Linked DNA regions of Drosophila melanogaster. The protein of the gene in region 1 interacts with the protein of each later gene in a biochemical or structural test. Each region holds a gene or a part of one and is shown on either strand. Other genes may lie near its edges.

Region 1 (7,541 bases):
CACTACGGACTCTTCCACTCCGTCTGCGTGCCCAGGTTGGTATTGAACTCCCCATCGGCCTTGCATCGACAGGTTCCAGTGCCTGTCTGTCCGCATGACCTGCTTGTGCGGCTGGAAACTTGATTGCCATATGCAAATCAACGATCACTGACCGATATTCCCAACCTTCTCCCACAGCTACATCGAGCAAGATCGCGTGTGCGGCTTCTGGACCTGGCTCTTCGTGCTCAGCAAACTGCCGGAGCTGGGCGACACGATATTCATTGTGCTCCGCAAGCAGCCACTCATCTTTTTGCACTGGTAAGTTTAGCGAAACACTGACTGGGCATCCAAGATCCACTCTTAGAGTAGTCAAAAAAGATGGAGTGATAATATAACATCCTGCAATATGCTCCATCTTTGGAGAAAAGCTACTTATGATGACAATTTGCATCACATGTGGCGGCATCTGCTAGAACTTGTACTCATGTACCATAAGGAATACTGCTGTCTAAGTTCAATCAAAGAGAATTTCCTTATATTATTATTACTAAAAGATAAAAATGCCCTTTCACTAGACAAGCAACACCAGTAAACCAGTAAAAATACGTTTTATAGGTGCAGTGAAGCAATACATATGAGTCATAGCGAATTACTTTTAATGAGATTCACTGACGGTTATTTCGGCATATGAAACTAGCGTTAATTATATGTTAGGCTTAGTTAGGAAATAAAAGGTGCGAATTATTTGTGATATAAGCTGTTTCGATTGATCAAAATGATTTGATTTGAATATATTGTAGTTTCCCTGAGAACGCTAACAATTAACTAAACTTGAACTTTATATTAATTGAATAGTTTTCGCTCACAGGTATCACCACATCACCGTGCTGATCTACTCGTGGTTCAGCTATACGGAATATACCAGCTCTGCCCGCTGGTTCATCGTGATGAACTACTGCGTGCACTCGGTGATGTACAGCTACTATGCTCTGAAGGCGGCCCGCTTCAATCCGCCCAGGTTCATCTCGATGATCATCACGTCGCTGCAGCTGGCTCAGATGATCATCGGATGTGCGATCAACGTGTGGGCCAATGGCTTCCTGAAGACGCACGGCACCTCCTCCTGTCACATCTCGCAGCGCAACATCAATCTGTCGATCGCCATGTACTCCAGCTACTTTGTCCTGTTCGCGCGCTTCTTCTACAAGGCGTACCTGGCGCCCGGTGGTCACAAGAGCCGGCGCATGGCCGCCTCCCTGGCAGCCCAGAATGTGGTCAAGCAGTCGAGCAGCCCCCAGCAGGCCAGCGAGAGCTCCAAGTTCATCGGCGCTGGCGAGGATCAGGCAGCCTATCTGCGCAAGGCCAAGGCGCAGTAAAACGGAGCTCGGCACACCAGCACCTAACTCCCATCATCACCACTCCCCCTGTTTACGGCTAAGGACCTTTATTTATGTAGCGGTGTACAAGTTGTTTTTTAATTTTAAACCTGGGTGGCACACGACCGGTCGGATGAGAGTTTAATTTTGTAAGCCAAAAGTTGTACCGTGTGGACAGGCGTACGAACCATATATCTGAACATGTATATAAAAGAAGAAAAAAACAGACGAACCTAAGCTAACCAAAACTCAGAGTCGAGTCAGAATAAACTCTATGTAATTGAGGGGCAAAGAAGCGAGCGCATGAAAAGCTTGAATTGAAATCTCTAGATCTCTCTAGGGATATGTGAAAGGAACGCAAGGAATTTAGCTGCTCACTAGTTTGCATGCGTTTAATTAATAGTCACTCCTCTTGATATCTCTCGATGTATTTCCCAGCTGCAGTTCTAGAAGTGTCGTTGATGTATAGAATTTATTTATATTTCCGGTGTTATTGACATGCGCCAAATGAATGTTTTGTTTTCCACTAGCCCCTGAATGTATTTCGATATTTGCGTTGTCAGCTATAATTTACCTCTCGGGTGGAATTTTGTGTTGCCTCCCAATTTTAGTTAAAATTCTCAAGAAGGATCAGACTCCTGCCTTCAGTTTGGATATCGCACAGTTTGCGATACTTGAACGACAGGCATTTTTGGTTGAAATTGAATTTGATTTACTGGAGAACTGTTTTCCTAAAATCACTTGTAGTTGGGGTCTGAGAACTTTGTACTTCTAAGTCTATACGCATATATATTTATAAAAACCTATATTAACGGAATATTAAACACGTGAAAACGGAATACCAACCAATAACAAAACACTAAGTTAGTCTATTGTTCCAAGATCCAGAGCGCAAATTGTTATTGTAAAGTAATAAACTGTTTTCAAATCTGTAAGAACAAACAATATTTATAACAGTCGAAAAGACGTCTGATAAAATGTTGCTGACTGACTGGATTAAGTCGAAGCATTGTCATAGTCACCAATAAAATATTTTTGAAATTTTAACATATATTCCAGTCAGTCAGTATAGTTTTAACCAGTGTGTCAGTCATGCTGCAATACAAAAAGTTCGATTCTGTTAGGGGAAGGCATTTATTTAGTTAACCTGTGTTAAATGCATTTGAATATTCCTTCAAATTTCTTGCTGCTTTTTGGTAACTTAACAAAGCCACAGAAAGTCCTTGAACGTAACAAAAAAAAAAAAAAAAAAGAACGTAAAATAATAATAACCAGAGAAAAATTAAATTATATTTATACTTGTAAGCGAACAGAACAGAAGAGATCGCATGTGAAAGAGCAAAACCGAGAAAATGAAAAGCAAAAGTCCTACTTGAAAAGTTAATTTAGTGTAAGCGAGGAAAATGTAACTGAAAATGAAATCGGAGCAGAAGCTGAAGGAGGATCGTGTGAATGGAGAGAAGGATCGATTGATACTGAACTCTAGCAGGAGAGAGAAATTGAAACGAACAAACTTGAAATTTCTGTCGGGTATACATACTAAATAATAACTAAGCAAGAACACTAAAGATTGAGAATGCTAAACAAAACCAACGGATAAATAAAACGTAACAAACGGAAAAGGATGGAAAGTATTGCAGTTGTATTTATTAGTCGGGCTAAATGGGAATTTATGAATACATCTAAAGGCATATTATAAAAACCGTAGCTTGATTATTCGATGTTTTTAAATGTCAATTACATTTTGATTTGAGTCAGTTTTCTCTTAAAATCAATAAACTAAACTAGGGTTGACGCAATAGTCGAAAAAATTCGAAGTGTATCCATGAAAAATTAAAGATAATGTTATAAGTTGCATTGCATTGAAAATCTAAAGAGAATAAACTTTTCCTAGAAAGCTATATCAAGATTCTTTTAATTCAAATTATGTGTTTTAAACGTTTGAATTTAATTTTTTTTTGAACAACCAAAAATTAGTGTTCACAATCATGGAGTTTTTAAGCACTGGCTTACTAAGCTAAGTTAACCACCCAACCAGTCCGTGTCGCGCACCCATCATATTGCATTAGCCGAGTTTCTTACCAAACTAGCGCTGCCAACGCGTTCGTAAGTACTAAGCATTTATTATCAATATCGATACGTCTATCGGTATGCTGCCAAGTAGGGTATGTTTAAACGACCGACAAGCGGTCACACGAGTGCAAGTTGGATTCCAATTCGATCCGTCGCGGTGCGTGGAAAAAATGCACAGATGTAGATAAATCAGCAAGCAACGCTAGCAGATCAGATAGAGCTATATCGTCGCGAAAACCGATTAATTTGCCATGTTCAGCGGATCAGCCTGCGGATCAATTAAACCGTAAAAAACAGAGCAGGCGAGCGTAAGCAAGAGAGAGAGGTGAAGCCAGAGGCGGAGGCGCAAGACAAAGTGCATTTTCAGGGCGTGTTTTTGAGACCCCCCTCGCCAGTTAAGCTCACCCAGCCTCCCAGCCGTCGACAAGAAGTTTGCCGACACAACATTTTACCAACATGCTGCAAATTCGCAATTGCACCTGAGCGGCCACTAGAACAACAAATCAGATAAATCGCAAACTTCCTTTTTCCTCCGTGCGTGTGTACTTCTGTGTGTGCGTGAGTGTCTCCAATCTTTTTTGTCTACTCCAAAAACGCAGAAAGAGAAAGAAAAATGTGTGCGTGTGTGTGTGTGAAATAAATTAAAGCAAAGCAAAAGGCAAAACGGCAAATAATTGAGCAAAAGGCCAAGAGAGAAGAGTTAAAGCTGAAGTATATAACAAGAAAAGCAAAGCAAATAATAAGTAGTAGTAGTAAGCGAATAAGCCGTAGCAGCAGGAGCCGAGAGAAGAGAGAGAAAAGTGTACAAGTTGTTGTTGCTGCGCAAGAGCGAAAAACCACCCAACCACCCACTGGCAAATGGGGGCTCAGCAGGGCAAGGACAGGGGCGCCCACTCGGGAGGAGGCGGCTCGGGGGCCCCCGTCAGCTGCATCGGCCTCTCCAGCAGCCCAGTGGCCTCCGTTTCCCCCCACTGCATCTCCAGTTCCAGCGGCGTCAGCAGCGCCCCCCTCGGCGGGGGCTCCACGCTCCGTGGCTCCCGCATCAAGTCCTCGTCCTCCGGCGTGGCCAGTGGCAGCGGATCGGGCGGAGGCGGTGGCGGATCCGGATCGGGGCTGAGCCAGCGTAGTGGCGGACACAAGGATGCACGCTGCAATCCCACCGTGGGTCTCAACATATTCACCGAGCATAACGGTAAGTTCCTGCAAGTGTTGGAAAACAGGCATCGAAAGCATGCTAAGTACACAGAGCAAAAAGCATATTTTCAAAATTTGAAAGCCTTGTTAAGTCAAATTAAACGAAAAACGTCTGTACATAGTGCACGCTCAATCAAAATCGTTTTTATAAAATTAGGTGTGCACTAAAATTTTGTTTTCTATTCGAAGTTATTTAGTGGTTTGATCATTTTGTGTTTCGATTTCTGTAAGCTTGACTTATTTCTCATTGGTGTTTCTTCTTTTACATTGGATCTTAGAATTATTTTCTTGCACATTGTAGTTTGAGTTAAAAAGGCATCAATCGTAGAAATCATCTGGACCAAATCGATCTGTATAAGTGTTGTGTAACATACATATAAAAGTCAGAGGATGCACAAACATGCATACATTTGGAGGTCCCATTCACTTACACACTAATTGTAAAAAATTGCATGCAGCCTCCAAACTCAGGTGTAAATTCCATCATAGTATTGTGACTTTTCTTATTATACATGGAAATTGTTGTTGCTGTATTGCCAATTGCTCAGAGTTGTGTTATCTCACATCCACCACAATCATTTCAATTCGTGATGAAATCTTTTGATATTCCATACAACAGTTTTTAAGGACATTCAAGAAATCAGTAACTAAAAACTTATTCAATGGGGGTACTTTCAATAAAAAAATGCTTTTTTAAGCGTGCTCTTGCCATTAAATCTCTTTTGTAAATATCATGTAAGTTTTGATTTATCTGCCAGTTTGGGCTGCACAGTGTTGTATTTATTGTTCATAAAGTGCAGTCCACTCGGCTTTCCCTTTCCCCCTCTCTCCTTCTTTATGATCCCCGCCCTTCCTCTATATACGCTGCTTTCCAATTGAGCCAATTTCTTTTTTCCTCCATTTCTTCCGATTATATAGGAAATTATTGTTGTTATTGCCGGCTAGTTTCATACTTGTTGTTGCTTTTCCGCTGCTTTTGTTTACTGGAGAGAAGGAGAATGAATGAGAAAGAAAAGTGAAGGAGAGAAGAGAAAAGAGAGAGAGCAGCACGCGTTGCTGTTGTTTTTGTGCTGCTTGGGGCGGTTTCAATCCGCATTCGTGCTCTCCATCATCCTTTATCCTTCGGCCTTCCTCGTGGCACCCTTATCCCTGCCACCCGCACAGTGGTTGAAATTGCGACCCACAACACCGTTATCCCACCCCCGCTGACATATTGCCATTTCCTCCACTTTTCCGCATTTCCCCTTGCATTTTTCCTGCCCTTCACGCACTCACGCACATTTTTATTTGCCTCATTTTTTTGTCTAATACTTTTCCATTATTTGCCCTGCCAAGCTGCATAATTTTTTCTTTACATCCTCCCCGTTTCCGCATTTTCCGCACACCCACTTATTGGGAGACATTTGCCGTTTCTAATAGCTTTTTTATGTCCATGTCGACGAAGTCCTACCACAATAGGACCCACAATCGGGTGGCATTCGGGATTTTCTCAAGACTACCGGAAAAACATTTGTCAGGTTATAATAGTTACGCAGACTCAGTGGTAGAACTTTTTTTTTAACAAAAAGCATAACTATGTATGAGAATACATGACGAGGGTCGTATTAATAGTAAGGTAGTTTTTTAACTTGAAATCGTGTTGCCTTATTCCCCTGACAATTGCAAGCCATTTTCGCAACAGCTGTTTCAAACTGAAAGTGGACTTTTCCGAGTTTTGATATTTACACGCGCGACAATCTGTTCCTAAATGTATTAAATCCATAAATTTGCTTAAGTTCGAAAATTGAAATTTAATCCTTTATTATTTTACTTTTTAACTTTTGATGTAAATACTTCCTTTTGCAAACTATTCATCTCCCAAACGAATGGCTTGGCCAAAGTATTGATTTTTCCTTGGCACTCCAAGCTGAGCCACTTTTCCCAGATGATTTACAATAAGCTGTAGATTTTTCTTCTTGCTCTTCTCAACTGGAAGCCATTTCTTATCTCGCTCTCGCAGAGGCTTCCGTCTCACCAAGCAATTTGTAATCAATTAATGCTATTTTTATTATAATTAGTCGCTTATTGTGTGCATTAAGTTCAGTCAATCTCTCAGCTGGTACGCTGATAAGCCGGTTTTCATATAAATATTTATTGACGCTACTATTGAGTCATCGCTCCGTGCGATGCAATACATATGTACATATGTATGTGACCATCATCGGAAAACAAACAAACGACATTTTCCAGCTTCGTGCGGTGTTATTTCCCAGAAAAACACAGAAAATTCGCCAACGAAAATGCACATCTATTTGCCAAACTAGCAGAGTCTGTGTGTGTCTCATCATCCAAAAAGGTCGAAATGGGGGCCTGCAATTGCCTTTTTCGTGTGTCTGGCCTGCGAAATGCAATTACAGAATTACAATGTAAAAACGGTGTGTCTGGCTCAGCAGATTACAAGGCAGCACAAATCCCAAAAACCGAAACGGAAAGCCAGCCAGCCGGACTCACCGCAATTGTCAGTCCGGGTGGATCTCGGACTTTTAAGTGGGCGAATTTGGGGGGAAAGTCGCGCTATGCTTCTCCGACTCAATCAAAGTTAAATCCACCCACCACACACGTAACTAGGCACAGTGGGATAAAACCATTAAGTAATTGTTGAAACTACAATATTACAATAGTAAACACATCGTTAAGTATTAAGAACTTGTGTGCATATTGTTATCTTCAAGTAAACAATTAAGGCACTTAATAAATACAAGCAAAGGTGTTAAAGCTCTATTATTTTTAGATTTTTAAATAAATTTGCAGTCTCAAAAATTAAAAAATGGCATAAATTTCTCTTGCTCTAATTAACAGAATGTAACAGAAATAAAAAACAAAGTGAATGAAATTCTTCGGCTTATTACAGTGCTTTAGGCTTTACAGTGCTTTAAG
Region 2 (3,600 bases), on another chromosome or scaffold:
TTTGTTTCAAACCTCATTTCAAGTTTGGATCGAAAAAGGAATGAAAGGAAAAATTTTTACTTCGCCCCTTCGTCGGCAATTTTTCTCCTTTCTGCTTCTGCTTCTAATAAAAACACTTGACACCAAAAACGAGGAAAGTTCCTTGAGGCAAGTGGTGAAAGACATTTTAGGTTGAGTTGTGTTGTACGAGTTTCTACAACGAAAATATTAAATACTTGTCAAAACACTTGGAAAGGCTTTTTTTCAGAATATTTACTTTTATAAGTTTTATTGAGAATTTACTCAAAAATAATATTTTATACTAGAGAATTGAGCAGAAGGCTCTGAATAAGGAACTCGCTTGAAAATATTGAATAGCAGATAATGTCAATTGAAAAATGCTTCATTTTGAGAACAGCTTTAAGCATTAGTAAACATTTTGGCTTTAAAACAACCTATATATATAGAATCTTATTTAGCTTTGCAAGGCCAGGCCAAACTTAAATTTTCTTGAGCTCTTGCCAAGAACTTCCCATTACTTGCCGAGGACATAACTATGTCAATCTGCAGACCCACACTCACACAGGACACACACTGCAGTCCTTTTTTCGCCTTAGCTGAAAATCACTTCGCAGCTGGTCCTAAAACGATTTTAGGCCGCTCCAATCACAAACACACACTCTCGGCACACCCGAATCGGAAGGCAGCGAAAACATCAGCCACAACAATCCTTGCAGGACGCAGCGTTATTTTCGCACCAAACTGCAGGAAACCCCGCCAGGACCTCAATCGAAAAAGAACTGTGAAAAATTGCCAACCGTTTCGCTTTGAGGCCAAAAGGAGCGGGCCGAAAAAAGAGCTGCTCGCTCGTAAAACTGCAAATGAAAATAGATAAAAAGTATCTGTCGTCCCAACCAGTAAACTTCATTTTGTAAATCAATTGAATTTTCAATTGTGTGCGAGCAAACTAAACCAAACCAAACCAAACCACGACGAAACGACGGAGCACAAAAAGAAAAAGTAGGTAAACATAAAAGGACAAATAAAGGAAACGACACTATTACGGAAGAAAGGATGGGGAGACCGAAGGAATCCCCTTCTCCCCGGGGCAATCGTTTCAATCTCCATCTCGAGCAGCGGCACAGGATTGCCGTTTCTTATTAGCAGGGCCAGGACGATAAGGATAAAGTCCATATATATATCGATATTCATAAGGAAATTCCAGGTCACACGCACACACCACACACCAGGCTTCTGATAATTTTCAGAGTTTGTTTTCTCTTTAGATTTTACCGATTTATCCGCCAGGTATTATCGGCTACGTCAGTTGTTCTTCGGTAATTATGTTTCGCGGAAGTTCCTCGCCTGCAACTCGGATGGTGTAATTATGGGAATAATTTTTTAACCGGCTTGCGGCAAAACACGTTCACAAAAACAAGTGCACACATATGTACGAGTACAGCGGCAACAACGAGTTAATGGAGAAAGGGTTGAAGGGGGTTGAACCGAGGCAAGCCGAGGAGTTCGACGATTTGGTTTTTGGTTAACTTGGCTAAAATCACTTTGCCGGATTTTCGAAATGCTGCGGCTCTTTGCTATTGCATTATAACCGAGTACGATCTGTGGTTATGTTATATCACTCGAAATTGGATTCAAACGATTCGTTGGATTTTTTGCGAATTTTGTGTAATATACAATTTGCTGTCGCGCTGCTTGTTGCCCGATTATCGCACACACACGGCTGAGAAGGACGCGCTCTGTTTCTTACACGCTCGTTACATCCTGCCAAATCCCGAAATTGTACTAAATACGTACAAAACTTTTACGATTGGCTAAGGCTGCTAGCAGCAATGCTCGTGTTTTCCTCGCGTTCAGTGTGTGCGTTTGTGAGTCGCCACTCGACCCGAAGAGTCCTTCAGCGTGCCCGAGGATGCGCCGACCGAGCGCCGAGTGTGGTGGATTTTTCCGGAGAGCGGAAAAGCCGAGAAATTCGCCAGCCGAAGCTGCGAGCGATGGAAGAGAAACACCAAAGGATGGCTACTCAAAAGGAACTCACTTTGTACTCAGAACTCAATCGAATAGACAAACCATTCTGGGAAATGTTAAGAGCACACAAATCGGAGTGATTCTAAATAGCATTCAAAAATCACTCAGTTTAAAATGTTATGGAACAGTTGAGTGCAAGGAATATTTGATAAAATAACATAAAATAAATTTGAAAAAAATGTAAAATAAACTGAGAGGAATTACGAAACATCATTTTTAGCATGAGTTTCAAAAAATATTTTATATTTAATATAAAATTGGGATTTTCTTTAGCATTATAAAAATTATTATTTAATTCTTATAAATGTATGGGAATGGTAAATCCAGTTTACACTGCTCGCTCGATTCGAGCTAATTTATTTAACATTGAGATAATCACTGAGTGCTTTTATAGCAAAACCAGCAATGTTTCTCTTAGAGTGAAGTGCTTGCTGGGTAATAACATTTATAGCTCAACTAAAAAGGACTCGAATTGCAGACGCAAAGAGTACAGGCTTATATGAGAAATGTAAACGCATTTTAAATGCTCAAAGGCAACAAAACAGACTCACTCAATTTCGAGATTCGAGACCTGCGAGGCTTAGAACATGAAACCAAAGAGAAGCAAATCTGCGATTAAGGCAACTCAATCCTTCTCAGCAAGGACTTGCTCGAAGAGAGCCTGGTGAGATGGCTAAACGAGCTTTCGACGTGGGTGAATCGGAAAGGTTCGGCTTTTAGGCGCCGAGCCCGTCGACGAAGGTGAAAAGCGAATCGCGTCCACGAAAAGCCCGCCATTGACTTTGACCGTCGTTCGCCAGTCGTCAGTTTCAACTGGAGCGGCGGGCAGTAAGCTGAAATCGGCTGAAAGGACGAGCTGGCAGGATATTTCGCAGAAGGGCGAACCAGCGCAGTGCCGAGCAGGAAAAGGCGAGAAACGGCCTGTGCTAATTTTCCTGGCTAGCTAGATTTTTGGCGCGCTCCAGATTTAATCCTGCAGTCTAAGTGAATGTGAAATGTAACAAGCCAAGTGACAGTTACCAAAAGTCAGAAGACAAAAGGAAGGGAGGAAAGCTAAAAGGCAGAAAGCCACCGAACAGATGGAAACAACTCGCAGATGCTGATGTTCCTGCCCCAGGAGACATTTAACATAATAAAAACGAACGTGTGCGGCATTTTGTGTTGCCTTTTGGCCAAGTTAACTCCTGTTCCTGCATCTGTGTGTGTGTGTGTGTGTGTTCGTTACATGCTAATATCACAGACACTCGCCCGCGCACAACCCACACAAACTTACAAACAAACAATATTGCAAATGTGTGCGTGAGGCAGTTGGCCAAAGTGTCGTAAATCGTTTAGACAGCGCGACGTGGCCCAGAAAAAGGAGATGAGGGCCAAAAAACGATATGTAAACGACACAGCAGTCGCCGTGGGAAAAACTGGGAAACGCCAACAGAAAAAGCCAAGGAAACGAAGGATCCGACAATGAACTGCATTTGTTGCTCATGTGAGTATCCCGCCTCAAAGAAATTATCTCTTTTTTTTTTTTGTTTTGTTACTTCTCCGACTTCCTTACTTATGTATTACTTTTATGCGGCT

Evidence for each region.
Region 2: of the proteins of Abl (region 1) and Lar, one has a biochemical effect on the other in vitro, tested with the Drosophila melanogaster proteins (2 studies listed by BioGRID, with this or other methods).

The regions. Positions count from the first base shown.
Region 1 is NT_037436.4:16,643,892-16,651,432, reverse strand, and holds the start of Abl (Abl tyrosine kinase), read left to right. Parts: upstream 1-3,550; 5' UTR 3,551-4,289; coding exon 4,290-4,623; intron 4,624-7,541. Other genes in the region: baldspot, read left to right, coding at 1-35, 178-300, 851-1,358. UniProt on the Drosophila melanogaster protein: Arm and Abl proteins function cooperatively at adherens junctions in both the CNS and epidermis; critical for embryonic epithelial morphogenesis regulating cell shape changes and cell migration.
Region 2 is NT_033779.5:19,604,754-19,608,353, reverse strand, and holds the start of Lar (Leukocyte-antigen-related-like), read right to left. Parts: upstream 1,786-3,600; 5' UTR 1,273-1,785; intron 1-1,272. UniProt on the Drosophila melanogaster protein: Possible cell adhesion receptor. It possesses an intrinsic protein tyrosine phosphatase activity (PTPase). It controls motor axon guidance. In the developing eye, has a role in normal axonal targeting of the R7 photoreceptor, where it negatively regulates bdl.